2 linked regions of the Mus musculus genome follow. The main gene of each other region encodes a partner of the protein of the gene in region 2 in a complex. Links are inferred from orthologs where the notes say so. Each region holds a gene or a part of one and is shown on either strand. Other genes may lie near its edges.

Evidence for each region.
Region 1: Cnot2 (region 2) and Cnot8 share a complex: the UniProt entries of both Homo sapiens proteins name them as parts of the CCR4-NOT complex. The link is inferred for Mus musculus from reciprocal best matches to the Homo sapiens genes CNOT2 and CNOT8.

What each region holds. Positions count from the first base shown.
Region 1 is NC_000077.6:58,107,179-58,117,538, reverse strand, and holds part of Cnot8 (CCR4-NOT transcription complex subunit 8), read right to left. Parts: intron 7,984-10,360; 5' UTR 7,890-7,983; coding exon 7,773-7,889; intron 6,280-7,772; coding exon 6,086-6,279; intron 4,488-6,085; coding exon 4,326-4,487; intron 3,590-4,325; coding exon 3,445-3,589; intron 2,275-3,444; coding exon 2,164-2,274; intron 101-2,163; coding exon 1-100. UniProt on the Homo sapiens protein: Has 3'-5' poly(A) exoribonuclease activity for synthetic poly(A) RNA substrate. Its function seems to be partially redundant with that of CNOT7.
Region 2 is NC_000076.6:116,494,345-116,504,704, reverse strand, and holds part of Cnot2 (CCR4-NOT transcription complex subunit 2), read left to right. Parts: intron 1-590; coding exon 591-670; intron 671-3,387; coding exon 3,388-3,513; intron 3,514-5,238; coding exon 5,239-5,363; intron 5,364-6,246; coding exon 6,247-6,367; intron 6,368-6,462; coding exon 6,463-6,619; intron 6,620-9,683; coding exon 9,684-9,745; intron 9,746-9,832; coding exon 9,833-9,882; intron 9,883-10,360. UniProt on the Homo sapiens protein: Component of the CCR4-NOT complex which is one of the major cellular mRNA deadenylases and is linked to various cellular processes including bulk mRNA degradation, miRNA-mediated repression, translational repression during translational initiation and general transcription regulation.

The sequences.
Region 1 (10,360 bases), on a different chromosome or scaffold from region 2:
CACAGTCCACATCCTCATTCTGCTTCTGGGCCACCCCTGTGCCCAGGCCATAGAGGCGCCCACAATACTTGGCATCGTCAATACTGTCCTCAAAGAATAGCTGCAGAACAGGACAAAACCATCTGAGAATGGAGCCAGGAGTCATGCCAGCTCCCAGCTTCTCATGCCCTGACACAGCACACTGGACAGTAACTCAACAAAGATACCAAACATCCCCTCAGACGTTTTCTGCTCCATTGTACACATCCCGGCTCTGCATCCTAAACAGACTTGGCATTCTTATGACTTGTCAGTGCTGAAGCCTTGGGCTGCTGCTGTGTGGAGTCACCACCCTGCCAAGCAAGGGAGTGAGTGACTAAGGACTCAGGCTTGCCAAGTCACTTCAGCTCCATTCCATCATGGTTCCTCAGTCATGAAGTCCTGAAAGCCAGGTGTGCTGGCACACACATAATCCAGCACCCGAGAAGCTGAGGCAGGAGGGGACCAAGCACTCAGCAAGCAACTCAACCTTACTATCTGGGCAGGAGCTGTCCAGTGCAATCACAAGATGCTGAGCACAGCCCTGGCCACAAGTGCCACCTCTGTTAAGTATAACAAACATCTCCAAGCCATCAACAAAGGAGCAGGTTGGCAAGGACCAGCCTAATACACTGGTTACTCTTTAGATCTAAAATGTCCCTAGAAGTCCATGTGTTAAAGGCTTAGCACCAACTGGTAGGTTTACTGAAACATGGTAAAACCTTGAGGTTGGGGCCACAACTCAGCCTCTTCCTGTTTCCAAACCACTAAAGAATGAACAGACACTATGCTTTCACGTGCCATAACAGCCAGCCAACCCCTGGCTAAGCTGTCTCAAGTCAGAAACCTAAATAAACTGGTCCTTTGAACCTGGCCTCACATATTGTTACAGCCACAGAAAACTAGTTAATTAAACACTGGAAATAACAGCCAGGCAGTGCAGTTCACAGCTATAATCCCAACCCTGAGGCTAAGGCAAGGAGAGAGCCATGGATTCAAGGACAAGCACAAACCTTTAATTCTGTACTCAAGAGGCTGAGCAGGAGAGCAGGCAGATCTCCAGACTGAGTTTAAAGCTAGCCACGGCTACACAGTGAGACCCTGTCTAAAAATATCAAGTGCCATTTTCTCCATTCTAAAATTAGACCCATACCATGTCTCACTCCTTTTTATCAACATCCATTCCTTAAAATTATCAGCTGGGTGTAGTGGTGCACACCTTTAATCCCAGTACCTGGGAGGCAGAGGCAGGGGAATTTCTGAGTTCGAGGCCAGCCCCATCTACACAGTGAGTTCCAGGACAGCCAGGGCTGCACAGAGAAACCCTGTCTCAAAAAAAACCCAAAATTTTTATTTTTATATATATCAACAAACCTTCCAACAGTGGTAGCTCATGCTTTGATCTCAACACTCCAGAGGCAGACAGGTGGAGCTTTGAGTTTAAGGCTAGCCTGGGCTACACAGAGAAACTACCTCTGAAAAAAATATACATAAATAAGCAAACAACTAAATAATTAAATAAAACTAAAAGAAAAATATCAACAATAGTAATTTTTCCTCCCCCCCCCCCATCCTGGAATTTGATCTGTAGACCAGGCTGGCCTTGAACTCAGAGATCGGCCTGCCTCTGCCTTCCAAGTACTGGGCTCAAAGTTGTACACCACCACTACCCAGCTTTCACTATAATTTTTCAAAGTGTTTTCCTCTTCAGATATATATTAAAACTTAATGGAGTACATAAATAAGCTAAAAGAAGAGCTGGAGAGATGGCTCAGTAGTTAAGAGCACTGACTATTCCTTCCAGAGGTGCTGAGTTCAAATCCCAGCAACCACAAGGTGGCTCACAACCATCTGTAATAGGATCTGAGGCCCTTTTCTGGTGTGTCTGAAGACAGTGTATACATATATAAGATAAATCTTTAAAAAAGCAAAACAAAACAGAAACCTAAAAGAGAATTCACTTTTCCTTAGAGAAATAATATCCAGTAATTAACAGAACTCAGCCTCTGTAGATAGACTAACAAATAACATTCCTACTGTAGAAAGCAGAAGAAAACTCAGGCCTCACACACTCAAGAGACCCCACACCTGGAAGCTGTCATCTCAGAGACCCTCACACTCAGGGGCCTCACACTGCGCCATTACCTCTTTCATCCTGAAGAAAGCCATCCCCGTCAGCAGAGAGTCTGAGCCTGCTTGATGCTGCCTTCCGATCCTCTGCAGATCCAACTGATCAGCCACCTCCTGAAGGCCTCCCTAAGGGACAGAAAACAAGGGTGTCACATACCAACACTATTCTCCTGGACTCAGCTAAGTGTACTCATGAACGTTTAGCAGTGGGACAGGCCATTCATCTAACAGGCTTCAGTAGCCATTTTTCAGACCTTCACTCTTATTCTTCCCAAACAGTACCCTGCTGCATGCTCTGTGTGCATGCAGAGAAGAGAGACAACCTTCACGAGTCAGCTCTATCATGTCGCAGATCAAACTCGGGTCCATTAAGGTTAGCAGCCCACATCTTTACCCACTGAGCCACCTCACAGGACAACTTGAACTTTTTAGAATTAAAAATCTCACAATAGTATCAACCAACCAGAGCTCCCAGGGACTAAACCACCAACCAAGGAGTATACATATAGGGACACACGGCTCCAGCCACATATGTAGCCAAGGATGGACTTGTCAGGCATCAATGGGAGGAGAGGCCATTGGTCCTATGAAGGTTTGATAGACACCCCAGTGTATGGGAATTGAGGGCAGGGAGGCAGGAGGCAGGAGTGTGGGGGGGTGGGGGTTAACACCCTCATAGAAGCAAGAGGAAGGAGGATGGGATAGGGGGTTTCTGCAGGGGAGAAGGGAAGATCAAAAAAAGGGATAACGCTGGGCATGGTGGCGCACGCCTTTAACCCAGCACTCGGGAGGCAGAGGCAGGCGGATTTCTGAGTTCGAGGACAGCCTGGTCTACAGAGTGAGTTCCAGGACAGCCAGGGCTATACAGAGAAACACTGTCTCGAAAAAAAAAAAAAAAGAAAGAAAGAAAGAAAGGGGATAACATTTGAAACGTAAATAAATAAGATATCCAATTAAAAAATTAATGAAAAAAATTAAAAATCCCTCAGAGGGATTTTTAATGTGGAACAGTCACAACATACTGCACATGGCCTCATGTCACCAACTACTCTGTCAGGTTCTCAAACCTCAGAGGAAGGCAGCCTCAGGATGCAAGAAATAGGGCTTTTCTGGTGCCAGAGTCACCAACAAAGACAGCTAAAGAGAGAGCAAGCTCGATTAACATCCTCCTTAGATAAGTCTGGCACCTGGCAGGCCTCAAGAAAAAGCATAGTGAATGCATTATTAATGCAAAACAAGCCTGAGTGTGGGAGTCTGCTCGTTCATTGCCTGCATTAGGAAAACGCCGTCTGTTACCTTCAGGTTTTTGCAGCTCTTCATCAGGTATTTCACATCGTAAATGGACGGGAAGAAAAGATTCAGGATATGAAAGAACTCGTGTTCTTCTTCCGGCAGGCGAGAGTCTGTTAGCAGCTTTACCATGTAGCCAAAATCATAACCACTAAAGGAGGAATAAAGCAGATGTCTGAAAGCAGCCTCAGTCCAGCCTTAAACCACCACCTCAGGCTGGGGGCTGGGCCTCTCAAAGAGCACTGATGATCTCAGCTTTACATTCAGTGAGGAAATTTACATAAGGAAAGCTACGATGAGAAACACACAAGAACCTGAGAGTTTGTGTGAATTTGATTAATCAAAACTCAAAAGTAAAGCCGTAAGAGCCCAGGAGAAGGGTCACCTAAAGAGAAATTTTGAATCAGAGTTCCAATCCCAGCACCCAGGTCAGACAGCTCACAAATGCCTGTAAGTCTACCTGCAATGGCCCAGCATCCTCTTTTGGCTCCCTAGGTACTCACACACATACCTATACATACCACACACACACATACCCTTTAAAAATAAACACCTTCCAAAAAGTATTTAAAGAATATCTGTATTTGAGGACATTTCAAAGGACAAGCCACACCAGGCTGAAAATAACCGAGCCCACAGCAGCCTCCATCCACCTGGAAGACAGCACTGCACAGCCACTACAGCACTGCAGGTCAAGTGATGCAAAGCCCATGTGCGTGTTCACGTGCTCCCAAACACTACACAGGAACACCAACACCACCTCACTGCTGCTTCCAAAAAGCCAGGAGGACTCAAATCAACAAGAATTTAGTTCCTCCCCAGTGCAGCCTACAGTCAGAAGGGCGAAGCTATGCTGAAGAGACAGGCCACAGTTCCCGTGGACTGACCTGTGAAATGAAAGCCACTTGACGTTGTCACAGAGAACCACTCCCGATGTCATAAGCAGCTCTGCAAAGTGCAGTGTATCGATCCCTTCCTCCTCGTGTTTCTGGAACTGCAGCCCTGAGTTTGCAAGCAGATCTATGGAATCCTGGGAGTACATATCCTCTCTGAAAAACAAGGTGTCACTATGAGCTGGCGGCAGTGAGACCAAAGCAGGAGAGATGTTATGGTTAGCTTATGATTCGGAAACACAGAACTCCTGAAACACTCCAAAAACCAGCAGATTTGTATTTCCTAATTACAGAAAACCTATATTCTCTTGCTTAAAATTGTGTTTTATGTAAATGAATGAGTTAAACAATTGTGAGCCCAGCTCTGGGAATTGAGCTCAGATCTTTTGGAGGGGCAGCCGGTGTCCTAACCATTGAGCCACACATTTTTTTTATGCTGTTTTTCATCTTTTTTAAATATTTATTTATTTATGTATATGGATGTTTGTCTGTATATTTGCACACCAGAAGAGGGCATTCAGGCCCATCACAGACAGAGAGTGCCCACGTGGCTGCTGGGAACTGAACTCAGGAGCTCTGGAAGAACAACCTGGGCTTTTAACCACTGAACTATCATCTATGCGGCCTTTGGTTTTTTTAATTTTTAATCATATTTACACTTCTTTATATTATTTACAGTAGAATTTAACAAAACAAACTTGAGACAGAACTAACCCTGAAGTTTACTTATTACGGATGGTTGCGAGCCACCATGTGGTTGCTGGGATTTGAACTCAGGACCTTTGGAAGAGCAGTCGGCGCTCTTAACCACTGAGCCATCTCTCCAGCCCCTGAAGTTTATTTATAAAACAAACAAAAGGCAGGGCTGGAGATGAGGCTCAGCACTACGAGTTCTTGCTGCCGTGACAGAAGACCCAGGCTTAGCTCCCAACCATCCGTACTACCAGTCCCAGGGATCTGCTAACTGCTGTGGACACCAGGCACATACATGATGGACAGATATACATGCAGGCAAAACATTAATACACAAAATAACAGTTAAGGTCAGGCGTGGTGGCGCATGCCTTTAATCCCAGCACTCAGGAGACAGAGGCAGGAGGATTTCTGAATTCAAGGCCAGCCTGGTCTACAAAGTGAGTTCCAGGACAGCCAGGGCTACACAGAAAAATCCTGTCTCAAAAACAAAAAAACAAAACAAAACAAAAAAAAACAGTTAAAAATCTTGGGCTGGGGGCTGGAGAGCTGGCTCAGCGGTTAAAAGCACCGACTGCTTCCAGAGGTCCTGAGTTCAACTCCCAGCAACCACACGGTGGCTCAAAACCATCTGTACAGGGATTTGATGCCCTCTTCTGGTGTGTCTTAAGACAGCTACAGTGTACTCACATACATACATAAAAGATAAATAAATCTTTTAAAAAAAAGAAAAAAGAGCTGGGCGTGGTCGCACACGCCTTTAATCCCAGCACTTGGGAGGCAGAGGCAGGCAGATTTCTGAGACCGCCTGGTCTCTGGCCAGCCTGGTCTCCAGAGTGAGTTCCAGGACAGCCAGGACTACACCCTGTCTTGAAAAACCAAAAAAAAAAAAAAAAAAAAAAAAGATAGCAAGTTTCAGGACACTCAGAGCAACATAATAGAGAGAAACCATGTCTCCTCCCACCTCAATCCCAAAAACCACATGATTAGTAAAGCTTACAGCAACCAGCCCACTCAAACTCAGCTGTCTAGTAACACTGAGGGTCTCCCAAGACACTCACGTCAGGTTGAACTTGAAGTTGAACTGCCATGTGTTGATTCCAGACGGGTACTCCCCCTTCTCATTGGTGAACGTAAGGCCCAGCTGGATGATTTTAAGAAGATCAACATTGCACCGCAGAAGCTGATACTGGTAATCTATGGAGCTTCGAAATTCACCGATCGGCCGTACAACAACACCTGGGAACTCTGTGTCCTAGGAACAAAAGCCTCTTACCATTAAGCCTCAGCAAACAGTGGTGCTCAGCAACCCATGAGCAAAATTGCTCTTCAGTTTACAGAAGCCCAAGATAAGCTCCCAAGGTCTAGAACACAACAGAACCCAGACAGGTGAATGGGTGACTAGAGGGAGCTGCGCTCAGGTAGGAACGTCTTTTTTCACTTATTCATTTACTTCAAGTGCACTGGTGGCATGTGTGTCTGTAGGAGAGGGTCAAATCCCCTGGAAGTGGAGTTACAGACAGTTGTGAGCTATCATATGGGTGCTGTGAATTGAACCATGGTCCTCAGGAAGAACAAGTGCCCTCGACTGCTGAGCCATCTCTCTAGCCTTCAGATAGGACCTTCCAATATGAGTTAAATACAAATACAGCCAAGTAGATGGGGTGGCTCACAGGGGCTTCGCTCCATCCCATCAGCTTCTTGGTGTGACGTATACTTGAAAGAGAAGCCCGGCTCATGGCCTGCTGTTCAGAGCTCCCACCTTGGTCTAATGTTTTTATAAAGGACAAATGCAGCCTTCCTCTTTCCTGAGTGACTATTTCACTGCCGTGTGTACATAAAACCCTTTTATACCCTTGTAAAGCTCAGACTGGCCTATACTCATTGATCTTGAACTCCTGACCCCACACCCTCACCCCCAGTGTTTGGGATGACAGGATCTTAACCTGCTGGGAGAGCTTGTAAGGCTAGTGCCTCTTATGGACAGAGGAGTGAAAGCAGGGTTTGAATACAGACAGTGGCAAGCTCCAAGCCTGGAGTAAAACAGAGCACCTGCGTGCTCAGGGGCTGGCCTAAGAAGAGTGCCACCTAACCCGCCATTGGGCAGGAAAATAAGCCACACAGTACCAGTCCTTCCCACTTTACCCAGAGACACCAGATCTGCAATGTGACATCTCCTGCCTTTTTTGTGCTAGCAATAAAATGTTTGAATATTTTGAAAACATAGGCTGGGCATGTTGGTACATGCCTATCTTCCTAGCACTTGGGAGATAGAGGCAGGAGGATCAGAAAGTCAAGTCGTCCTCTTGAAATATGCCTGTTACATGAAACCCTGTCTCCAAATTTTAAAAAATTAATAAGTACCACATGCTCAAATTCCCATGTGTGAGGAGATATACCCAAAGGGGCTGAGGTAGGTCAGACACTAGAGCACTTCCCAGCACCACACATACTGGGCACAATGGGGCAACCATAGCTCAGCACCAAGAAGGCAGAAGCAGGAGGATAAGCACAAGGCCTGCCTGGACTACCCAGCAAGTGCTGGGCTAGCCAGGGCTTACATATCCAGATCCTATCTAAATAAACAAAAATAAAAATATAAAAGACTTTCCATCAGAGGAACACATTACAAAAACTTGTGTCAGAAGCTATGCCCTCCTCAGAGACACTAGCTGCCTTGATTCACAAAAGCAATTAGGTTTCCATCAGTCTAACCTTCCCTGGCTTTGGTGGGGAGGGCCTACTCACCATAGCGATATAGCTGTAGCTGAGGACAATCTCACGGATCTTCCGCATCTCTTCCTCAAGATTGCTGGCCCACACCTCACAGATGACCTGACTGTTTTCTACAAGTGCCGCAGGCATCCTGAAGGCACCTGAGGAGCCACCGTGAGCCAACTATGTAAAAAAACAAACAAGCCTCCTTCTGTTTGATTTAATTGTCCACACTGGATCCAATCTAGATATAAAGACAGTTTGAAATCACATTAAGTTTACATGGTGGTATAAGATATCTACAAATCAAACACATTAAAATTGTATTTTAGTCAGATACGTGACCCAGACACATGATCCTAACACTCAGGAGGCCAAGGTAGAAGGAGGGAGACCAGCGTGGACTGCATACTGAGTCCATTTAAGGTCAACCAGGGCTACCTAGCAAGACCCTATCTGAAAACACACACAAACCAGAGTTTTACCATAACTTCATTAACAGTCAGTGCACTCAGCATCCACTACCTATGGAGTGCTTACACTTGCCTTTGTCAAGTTTGTTCTCTCTTGATACAAACAAAACCCTACCTGTTGACCCGAATCCTTAACATGACATTAAAAATGGCAAGTTACTGGGCTAGAGAGATGGCTCAGTGGTTAAGAGCACCACTGCTCTTCCAGAGGTCCTGAGTTCAATTCCCAGCAACCACATGGTGGCTCACAAACATCTGTAATGGGATCTGATGCCCTCTTCTGATGTGTCTGAAGACAGCAACAGCGTACTCATATACATCAAATAAATAAATAAATCTTTTAAAAAAAAAAAGGCAAGTTACGCTGGACAGGGGTGGTTTTGATTTTATATATACCATGCGCACGCAGTGCACAATGCACAAAGGCAGGCATCAGATTCTCTGGAACTGTACTTAGAGATGGCTGTAACTACCATATGGTGCTAGGAACCAAACCTAAGTTTTCTGCAAGAGCAGAAACCGGTCCTGACTGCTGAGCCATCTCTGCAGCCCTGTGATGTCTACTTTTTTACTCATAATAAATAAGTTAGGCAGTAAAGTTCACAATAAGAACAGAGGGTGATAGGGCTGAAGAAATGACTCAGCGGTTAAAAGCACTGGTGCTCTAATAAAGGATCCAGGGTCAGTTCCTAGTACCCAGATGGTGGCTTACATCCAACCATGATTCTAGTTCCAGGGGTCTGATGCCCTCTTCTGGCCTCAACAAGCACCAAACAGACACATGGTACACAGCCGTTCTGCAGGCAAAATATTTATACACATAAAGTAAAATAATTAAAAAAGAGGAGGCCAGTAAAAGTAATTCAAACGGGAGCAGAATGGCCGGCGGTGTACAGCACAGGAAGTACTGGGCCGGGTCAAATTCAACACCACCGGAACACTTGTCACTACAGCAAACCAACGCAAAAGGCTCAGTTATTAACAGAACAGAAAAGGCATAGACAGAGCTCATGCTTACAGCCTCAGGCTTGATCCTTGACTCCAAAACACACACAGACACACAGACACAACTAAACACAAGCTAGAGGCCAGTGTAGCAATCTAGAGAGACCCTGGGAGGAGGGATGCATAATGACGTAAGAGCTTCCTCATAAGGCAAACCCCCCACTGTATGGCTCCTGAACACAGTCAGTATGTAGCAGTGAGCTCCAGTGCACAGGGGCAAACACTTGCAGCAACAGTAAATGAACATGAGGGGTTTCCTAAGACCAGCGCATGGGAAATAAATCCTTGTTTCCCAGCTTTGGAACTGACATACAGTAGAGACTCCAGAAGACAATGAGGATCACTCTCAATGCTGTCTACTTCTCCTTAAGAGACCATTCATTCACTCAAGGCAGGCTACTCTTCAGATGCTCCCCTGAAACTGAAAGCTGTGTGGTGGCTCTCAACATACACACACCTGTGGAGCTACCACACAACCCATTTCTTCCCCTGTTTTTCTTTCATGAATAAAGGCTTGCAAGTGAACTAATAGAGAACAGGGAAGAAGCTGGTTCACAATGAATGCGCAGTAAATTCAGCTTCCTGACAACTGAGAAAATGTTTGTCAAGAGTTCTCCAGGCTGTCCTCGGAACTTGTAAAACTGCCCTTCTCTGCCCCCAAGCACTGCACCCATCAACACCAGCTGCTTCACCTAGCTCTTGAGGTCACCTCCCATGTCCAGTTACTGAAACAGAGACATAATCTTGCTTCCCTAAGCAAGTCATAAACTACATAGCAGGTAAGTGGACGCCATTCCTGGACTTCCAAAAGATGTTTCCATTAAAACAAAAAGGGACACAGGCATAAAGAAACAAACTGCCTAAAGCTTTTTAAGAGAGAGTTTGTTTCAGGAAGCCAACCACTTTCAAAGCTACTGTTACATTATCAGGTAAAGTGGAGCCACATAGGAGCAGACACTGGCAAAGACACAGGAGCCATTCTTACAGCAAACTTTTCCCTAGCCAATCTGTGGGTATATGATTGGCAGATTCCAGAATGGAAAAGGCAGTTCTTCTCCAATGAAGAGATACTAAGAGAGTGATGGCTTATGCCTCCAGTGGCCATCCTGTGCTAAGACTTAAAAAGTCCCAGATTGGACTGGG
Region 2 (10,360 bases):
CTATTTAAGATATGAATGATGAGTTTTAAAACATTAAATTCAGTTTTTTTAAAAGTAACCGGTCAGTTTAATTCAGGTCAAGTCAACATTTATTGATTACCTTGTAAATCTAAACACCAGGGGGCAGAGAATGAATAAGACATAGACTCCCAGGAAAGAATAGTTGGAAAAGACAGGTTGCAAAGAGAAGACTTGCACTGAAAAGCAAGCTTTATAAGTCAGGAACAAAAGCAAGTGTTGAGAGGGGTAATCTTTACCTACTGTATACTGTTGAAGTAGATGCATTTATCCAGAAAGCTAGCACACCAGCACACATTAAATGATACTCTTCATCTCCGTTCTTCACCACTCATAACTAAGTTTCTTTTTCGGTTTTTAAAATTAATTTGTTTAAATTGTTTGATTCTTTCTTGTTCATTGAAGAATTTTAGAGAAATTTTTAAATTAAAATATTGTAGTCTCAAATTAGCATTGGTTTTGAAACATATTATTGTTTTATATGAGGAGACCCAAAATATATACTTTTATTTTTCTACATCTCAAAGTTAGTGTTCTTACTGTATATCTAAAATTATTTTCTATGTACCCAGTATGTCTGGATTTGGAATGAACAGGAATCAGGCATTTGGAATGAATAACTCCTTATCAAGTAACATTTTTAATGGAACAGGTAAGCTTACTCTGGAGCTAGTGCCCTAATGAAAGTACAGTAGAATTCTGCACTGCAAGCAAATCAGCACCCTGCTCTCTGGATGGTAGCAGGATTTTACTCTTTTACATAGAATTTAGTTTAGTGGGAAACTGTCAGTGGTAGGATTTAATTAAACAGCAGAGAGTCGTTTAAATGTCCCCCTAACTTGGCCTTGCAACATAGTATTTTGCATTGTAACATCAGAATTATTTCTAACATCTAAAGAGAGTAAATACTAATTTGGACTATATTTGTGTCTCAGAATCTTGGTGTTTTTCTTTAAAATGTTTCCTGTCCTTTGCCCTGTCACTGAGGAAGAGTAGTATATCCTAGGTTGGGTGGTAGGACACTCTGGTTTTAGATACTCAGACTGAAGAGAAGAATCGAAATCGTAGGAAGCACTCAGCAGTTTTAAAAATCACTTAATGAAAAGTTTCACATTTAATCCTTAAGAATTTTGACCCAGTATTATCTATAAGATTGAGCTACCTGGAAAGTAACTTGATTTTTGACAAAAACTAAAGTCTACTGGTTTCTTAAACAGGGAGTGGTAGGTATTGCTGGTTAGCCGTGCCTCTCAGTGCTTTGGTGGTGAGAAAATAAGGGATGTTGCCATGATTAGTGCATCAGTAGGACCAGTATTAGTGTTACTGGGCGCTCTGTATGTGAGGTGGTGGTGAGAGGAGAGGTGTGAGGTATAGTATGCATATGCTGCAGAAGACCTAAAAGGGAGCCCTTTTTTACCTATAGGTTTTTAGCTTCTGGGCATTCTGATGGTTTGTTGAATAACTTAAGTGGACCAGCCAAGATTAAAGCCATTGAAAGAAATGGAAGACTTTAAGCATTTAAATTGTATATCCATTTCTTTCAATGGAAGATTTTTAAGCATTTAAATATTATAGTTTTCTGGGTGTGACTTTAAAACCTATCAACTTTGTAATTCTTAAAACAAAGTTATATACTTCATTGACTTTAAAGAGTTCACTTTTTCATACCTAGCATGTGAAGTCTGGCTACCTTTCACATTTCCACTGAATAATGTTTTTAATATGCTACTATAAAGTTTCAGAAATTTAAAATTCTTAGATTTTATACTGAGAAAATTATAAATTGTTGGTTAAAATATATTCTAACCTAATACATGACAATTTTAAATTAGTCATGGAAATATCTAAGAACATGTATTAAAAGTTAATTTTTACTTGGAGAAGTTTATAATTAATCATAATTTGAGAGATACTAACTTATAAATTAAAACAGTAAATATGATTTTAATTTCTTATACTTTACCGATACTGTATTTTTAGTGGAAATTTAAAGAAAAATTTGTGAGAAATGGTTTATCTTTACCTTTATACTTATAGTTTTAAATGATCACCTTTCCTGGTGTATTCATACAGTCCTTTTGTCTTAATAAATGAAGTTACTCAGAGGATAGTAATTATACTATTGGGAAAATTTTCAGAAAAGTCAAAGTTAATTGAAAAACGGCCTCAAAACTATACATGCTTATAAAACGAGGCAAAATATAAAGAAAATGATTTCATACTGCTAAATTATAGGTAGGAAATTAAGTAGTTCAAAATTAGAATACAGGTTAAGAACAGGAAAGGTTGAGGGAAAAATAATTTAAAAAAATAGCCAGAATAAAGAAGTGGGGTTAACTGTTTATGTCTAATGGTAGCGGTATAATTTAAAACAAAACAAAAAGATCTTTATTCAGTATATTTATTGAGCGCCTACTGTGTAACAGGCAGTATAAACTTCTGGGGTTGATGATTGCTCTATTCCCCACCTACTCCTGACACATAAGAGGAGTCCATCCTTGCGTGGAGCTCACAAACACATGCACATGTACACATTTTTGTCTCATTTTAAAGTATCCTGGGCAGAAGTCCTCAGGGCTTCTCTATTTGCCGTTTGCCTCAAAGTCTTTGTGGACATTTGTAAGAGGTAGTGTCATCGTCATATCTTTATAGTTGAAGTTCCAAGTAATGTAGATCTTGCCCTGTCCAGTGTTAATGAAGAGCTCAACAGTGCAGCTCCTGCTCCTCACAGGCTCTGTGTTTCATTGCCATCTTCCATCAAGGGCAAAAAATGCCCAGCCCTCTCCTTTATGTCTCCACCTCCAGACCTGGGTAGTTTGAGACACTGGCAGCATGCTGCTTTCCTCAGTTATTAGGGAATGAATCCCATGAGGCAAAACCAGTCCACAGAGTCCACAGCATGCACGCCCACTGTCGTGTACCTACCACACCACTCTACCTACCACACCACAGCACGCACGCCCACTGTCGTGTACCTACCACACCACTCTACCTACCACACCACAGCACGCACGCCCACTGTCGTGTACCTACCACACCACTCTACCTACCACACCACAGCATGCACGCCCACTGTCGTGTACCTACCACACCACTCTACCTACCACACCACAGCATGCACGCCCACTGTCATGTACCTACCACACCACTCTACCTACCACACCACAGCATGCACGCCCACTGTCGTGTACCTACCACACCACTCTACCTACCACACCACAGCATGCACGCCCACTGTCATGTACCTACCACACCACTCTGCACTAGGAAGGAAGAAGACGCTGTTGTTTCACATGAGATGCTTGGCTTTTATAATCTCGTTGTAAATGTTTGTGGAGTCAGTAACGAGCATTATCTCTTATCATTTAGATGGCAGTGAAAATGTGACAGGATTGGACCTTTCAGATTTCCCAGCGTTAGCTGACCGGAATAGAAGGGAAGGGAGCGGCAACCCAACTCCATTAATAAACCCCTTGGCTGGAAGAGCTCCTTACGGTAATGCATGTTCTTAGTTCTTTATTTACCAAATAAAGGCTACAGTCATGTGTACTACACACGTATGTGTCTGTATGTGCATGCTTGTAGGTATTTATGTTGTCAGACCAGGTTAACATTATTTTGTCAGAATTCATAATTTGAAAATTGATTTTTTTTCTTTCTATGTATCCACCATAGCAAAGTTGAGTGGTAAACTTTAGTACAGAAATCTAAATACTTGATTTCATTGCTATTCAGAAGTTATTTCTTCCGTTCCGCATGCTTTAGTTTAATATATGTGATTAATTTTGTGGCTTAGCTTTTGTTAGTTGGCCCTACCTTTAAGAGAATATGTCCCTGGTAATTAATAATAACTGCATTGAGGTATGTCTCTCTTAAGTGAAGATTTCTCTAAATTCACACTGGGGCTGGAAAGTTCATTTCAGAAGTCTGCGGGTGCTTATTTAGGTAGAACATTTAGCAACACTTTGAACTTTTGGCTTCTGTGTACCAGCATAGGCTCTTCTCCCATCCGTGTGATGTGGCACACGTTTCTGCAAACTGGCAAACGCCCTCTTGCCAAGCCTGTGAGAACCAATGCTTACGGTTTTGTATTTTTACAGATTCTTGGCTATGATTACTATACCCAGTCACTCTTTTTACAGTCTCTATAAGTTAAGAGATTTGGAGTAGAGCCTGAATATCAATGTTAAGAAAACCATATGCAGTGACAGAATAGCAGCTGAGACAAAAACTTTTGTGATATCAGCATAGCCAAACTCTTGTTTCTTGTGGGTGAGATCTCATATAGACTGGTATCAAGGCAATAATTAGATGGGTTTATTCATCATTTATTTTAAAATAGAGCTAATATTTTCTCCATAATCAAGGGTTTCAAGTTCTGAACTTCTGGATATGAGTAAAAATAATGTGTAGAGGAAAAACTTTATTGATCATATCTTAAACCTTTCAAATCTGTTTTCCCAAAATAAGAGAATGTGCCGTGCCCTGAAGTTGCGTGCCTAGCTGCTTGCCTCTCAGTTCAGATGCTAATGTTGTTAACCTTTCCCCATAGGTCCTTTCTTTCATCCCTTTAAACTTTCCCGTTGCTCTCCTTGGACCATCTCTAGTTTCTCCATTTCCTTCTTGAATTGTGGAGCCCCAAACTGGATTTTGTTCTCCAATAAGGGCCCGACTAATGACAAGTATAGTGGGAAGAGTATTTCTCAGTCCTTGCATGTTTTACATCTGTAACATGGAGTCCAAGAACATGAGAAATAAAGTGGAATTGTTTTATAATTGGTTGCAATTTGCTCACTCTGTAAGTCACTTTTAAGTAGAATACTGACATGTTCTTTTACATTTTATTATATTCATTTTCATTTGACAGCTAACTGGTGTTTATGGCATCTAGTCAGATATTTAAAGCTAGCCTGTAAGCCGGCATTTTGAATATTATTACCAATATCAAATACTATTTTAAGCACCTATATAACATTAGATTGGAATTTCAGGATTACCACTTGTTTTTCTTGTATTGCTTTATATGTTGCTTCTTGTCAGCAGTAAATCAAAATTTCATTCTTTATCGTTATCCTGAATATTAATTTTTGAGTTGCCAGTTCACATGCTTTTTTAAAAAAGCTTTTGGTATATTGTGATGAGCAAAGTTAGTTTCTTATATAGTTTATAAGACAGTATCATAGATTCAATTGCATTTTCTGGATTCTTTTCATTACATAGTTGGAATGGTAACAAAACCTGCAAATGAGCAATCCCAAGACTTCTCAATACACAACGAAGATTTTCCAGCATTACCTGGTTCCAGCTATAAAGATCCAACGTCAAGTAATGACGACAGCAAATCTGTAAGTAGCTGAGCACCTTGTGTGTGAGTGGTGTAGTTTTCTCCCTTTAGAATTGCCTGACACTAATAGTTACTGACTAGACGCTGCTGCACAACTGTTTGAGCACTGTAATCATCTAACTTGAAGACTGTAGAAAGCTTTATAACTTAGAAGGTAGCATTTTTTTCCTATTTCATGTAGGTTTGCAAATTTCTGTTGAACTTGTGAGTTAATTTAGACTTTTATTGTAGTCCCTGTCAGCTGGACCCCATGACGTTTGGTTATATAGACTTCTAAGGAGCTCTCTTTTTCTTGAGTAAGTTTTCTCCTTGAAGAATCTCTATGCACATTTTAATACCTGTGTTGATTCAGCGACCTCAGCTTCTGATTTAAAGTGTGTTTATTCCTTCCAACATTCATGGCAGAGAGCTGGTTTTTTTGTTTGTTTTTTGTTTTTTGTTTTTCTGTATGTTTGATGGGTAAGGATGGAAATAAGTATAAGTTTTGCAAGGTCATATATTCCTAGTTTACCTTTGAGGTTTCTTTGGTAATATTTTTAGTACTGTAATATGTAATTACTCTTTTTATATAGAAGTGTGCATCAACAAAGCATAAAACCCCAAGAAAGACAGATATTTTTCATATTTTACCCCCTGTGATCTATGACAGATTTAAAAAAAACAAAAAAGAAAAGGCTAATTTTTTCAAGGTTTCTTGCCTCATTTGTAGACACAGAATTTATTTGTATTTCGTGAGGCAGTTATGGGGAGACAATTTTCAAGTAGAAAACAGATAATTACTACTAATTTAGATATAATAGTGGATGGCTAGCAAGGGGTTGATGAATTTAAACTTAGATATTTAGCACATCTAATGTCATGCTTTTTTTTTTTTTTCGTGCTAGAATTTGAGTACATCGGGGAAGACGACTTCAAGTACAGATGGACCCAAATTCCCTGGAGATAAAAGTTCAACAACACAAAACAATAATCAACAGAAAAAGGGGATCCAGGTGTTACCTGATGGTGGGACTCCATAAATATGTCAGAGATATTTGAAAGTACAGTTTTCTCTACTTTCCTTAATATAAAGTAAAAATAACTGTGTTTTTCTTAACCAGGTCGAGTTACTAACATTCCTCAAGGGATGGTGACGGACCAATTTGGAATGATTGGCCTGTTAACATTTATCAGGGCAGCAGAGACAGACCCAGGAATGGTACATCTTGCTTTAGGAAGTGACTTAACAACATTAGGCCTCAATCTGAACTCACCTGAGTAAGTTTTTCCCTCCATGTTTGTACATATCTTCTAGTCTGTAATAGATTCTCATACTGTTACCTTTTTCTTTTGAAGACAGAGTAACCCAGGCAGGCATTATAGGTGTTATCCTGTATCCTGTGCCACCACAGAGAGCCTCAGACTTGTAGCTAATCTCATCAGCAGCCTGCATACTCCTGGGCTGTTCTTTCTAGCTAGCCCATAGATCACTGAGAAATACCAAGGATCCATCTACAAGGCATTTGGGTTAGTCCCCAAGCCACATCTTTATCCAGCCCATTGATCTTGTCATTATTCGGAACTAAGTTTACCTTGTTGCTTGCTTTTTAACTATCACTGTTTCCCATGCCTCTCTTGTGGCTGTGACTTCTATATCATTTGATTCTATTGCGACTTCTCATTCTCTAGCTCTCTGTCTTCCTCGGTGTTCTTGTCTCCTCCTCTTTGATGAGCTCACATCCTTCTCACCATTAAATTTTATGATGAATCATAATTGCTCACTTAGGCAAGCTTGACTGTCTGCCCTTCTCACTTCTCATCTTAAAAGTCTGTACCCATTGTTGTATCTGTTTGTTTGATTCTTGACCATCTTCTGGTTGGACTACAGAAAAGTGTAATTTCACTGTCTGGTCCTGCTGCACACTGATGCTCAAGAACTTAAACTTGAGTCCAAAATTTTGCAGGCATACTTCTTTTGTTTTGTTTTTTTTGTTTGTTTGCTTTTTTTTTTGTTTGTTTTTTGTTTTTGGTTTGGTTTGGTTTGGTTTGGTTTTTTTGTTTGTTTGTTTTTTTCGAGACAGGGTTTCTCTGTATAGCCCTGGCTATCCTGGAACTCACTTTGTAGACCAGGCTGGCCTCGAACTCAGAAATCCTCCTTCCTCTGCCTCCCCAGTGCTGGGATTCAAGGCGTGCGCCGCCACCGCCCTGAGCAGCCATATTTCTACCTGATGACATAATCCTTTCAGAACCTTTTGTTTGCTTTTGGATGTGTTTGGGTTGGTTGGTTGGTTGGTTGGTTTGCTGCTGTTATCCTATGTGACTGTTTTGAATTTCATCAAGCCAGGAATAGCATTTCCTCCTGTCCGTAGCTCTCATAATGACCTGGCTTCTATTTCTACTTTACAAAGACAGGTGTAAGCAGATAGAAGAGGACATTAACCTGGTCCTGCCTCCAAATCTAATGACCTGCCACCAATCTAAATCTGACATGACCTTGCCAAAATCTTTGGTCCATGCTTCCTACTAAAACTTCATCAAAACTCATGAGTGGGAGTCTTAATTTTTTCTCCTTTTCCTGGTGCTGGCATCCAAACCAGTGTTGGACACAGTAAGCAAGTGCTGTGCCCCCGAGCTACACCCTCAGCCCGCTTCCCCCCAGGACTTTGGAAATGGTCTTGGCTGGTGTAGTGTAGTCCAAGGTGGCTCCTTAAAGCACTCCTGCTTCTGTGTGAGTGATGATGTTATAGCCACATACATGCCATGATTTCCTTCCAACTTACAGCATTTCTCTTTTCACATTTCTAGTGCCAAATACAGAGAAACTTATTTTTCTATTTGTATTGAAATTACATTATCTTGATCAACCTCTTTTGAGTTATCCTCATTCTTAATTCTTTTTTTTTTTTTGGAAGCAAACCGTCTCAAATGAGTCATCCTCATTTTTCTAACCTGTCTTCTTTCACTCTACTGAATCCACTGTTGCGAGGAATCCGTTCCTGTGATTCCAGTAAGCGCTCTGCAGCATCCCCACTTTCTCTTGGTGCTCCTTCCTCACTTGACTTTGAAGATACCATTCTTACCTGGTAACGTTGGCTCATCCCTCAGTTTCCCTTGCTCATATCACCTTTGGATTGTCTTCTTGATGATCTTATCTAGACTTGTGCTTTTAAGGACCACATAGATTGAAAATTCCAAACACCTACTTCCATGGCAGACTTTTTTTCTTGAACTTGAGATTTTAGATGCCGTTATTAGCTAAATATCTCTTTTAAGATTTGGGTTAAACCTACACCATGGCTATGCTTTTTTGATCTCCATTAATACTTCCAGAAACGACATCATCCTTAGTCTCTCCTTTTCTCTCAGATGCAGTCCTTTCAAGTAGATACAGAATCCAATCATAGTCTCATTAAGTTGCTACCACCCTGGTTTGTTGCCTGAATATTCTGCCAGCATATCACAGCAGGGATTCTTGGTTTGCTCTTTTTGTATGGTTTTGTGTAGCACTCAAGATAATTCTTTCTGTGCTCAGCCCCAAGTACAGATTTGTTGCTCTGATTTAAACCTCCCTGAGTGGCAGCCCTGCAACGCTCACATCATCCTGCCTTTCTTCTGACTCCACCTTGGAAGTGTTTCCCTGCCTTCCTCTGCCTCTCATGTCACGCTGTCTCTGCCTCAGTTGTTCTAATATTCCCCTTGGCTAGTACAGTGTTCTACTAGCTATTGACCTGTGATTATCGCTCTTATATCCTTGAATATTTGTTTACATCTAAGCTTGTCAAATCGGACTTAAACTGATCACCCTATTTAATTATATAACCAGTATTATTCATTTGTTATGCTAATTATCTGCCAGTGTCCAGTTAGCCATACACTTTTACAGAAAGTAAGTTTTCCAATATCAGCAGTCTTCGTTTTTATCACTTAACTTATTCAGAACATAGAATAGGCACTCACAATACGTGTTCAGTGATACGAAATCTGGCTCCTCCTCATTTCGGCTTTGAGTGAGGTGGACATGGAAAGTACTATAATTGGAGAGTAGTGTAGAAATGAACTTAGAGCATTGTTAGTTACCGCTAATTTAAAGTAGACAATTTCCATTTTGTACCTAAGTATATTCTGACTTGCTGTGCTTTACACTCTGTTGGTGAGCACTAGAGGAAGCGAAGCGCTCTTGGGTTACTTTTCTGCTATAAAGTTGCAGTAAATTCAAGAAAGGGAACCAAGAAGGATGCTTATTTTTTTATTTGAATTCTTTTTTTCCCATTTTCCTGAAATTAAGTTAGAAATACAGTTTTCTACTTTGTTCTTTAAAGTGGCTTCTTTTTTACTTGTTCAGAAATCTCTATCCCAAATTTGCATCACCCTGGGCTTCTTCACCTTGTCGGCCTCAAGACATAGGTAGGAGAATCTATTTGTGCTCAAAATTGTTTAAAAGGTATTTCCTAAGTATCAGTTAGTAACACCTTTGTTTGTTTTATTATGCAGACTTCCATGTTCCATCAGAATATTTAACAAACATTCACATTAGGGATAAGGTGAGTGAGTAGACCTTTCTATTCTCAGGCGTCGATTTTAGCTATTATCTTGGTACCACTTCCAGTTCAGACGGCATGCTAATCCACTAGCAGTCTTAGGCGTATGTGTCTGTATACCATTCACATAACAATTTTATTTCTGTTTTTATTAATATTTTTATTAATATGCTGTAGGTCTTTTTTAAATCAATGTTAGGAATGATAAAATATTTCTTGTAATTAATAATTGTAACCATAGTGAATGGAAATACATTAACTTGGAAAATTTGGTGATTCTCTTCCTGACATTCTTATTTTATGCCCTTACTTATAAGAGATGTTATTCACATAAAATGTTTTTAATGGGAGAACCCACAAACACCTTTCTGAAGTTATTCGATATTTTTCCACTGTATGTGTCACACCAGTACTGTAGACCTGAGGCCTCCTCTTAGGCCAGTGTGAAAAGTACCGGAGAACTCCATGCATTCACAGCGGC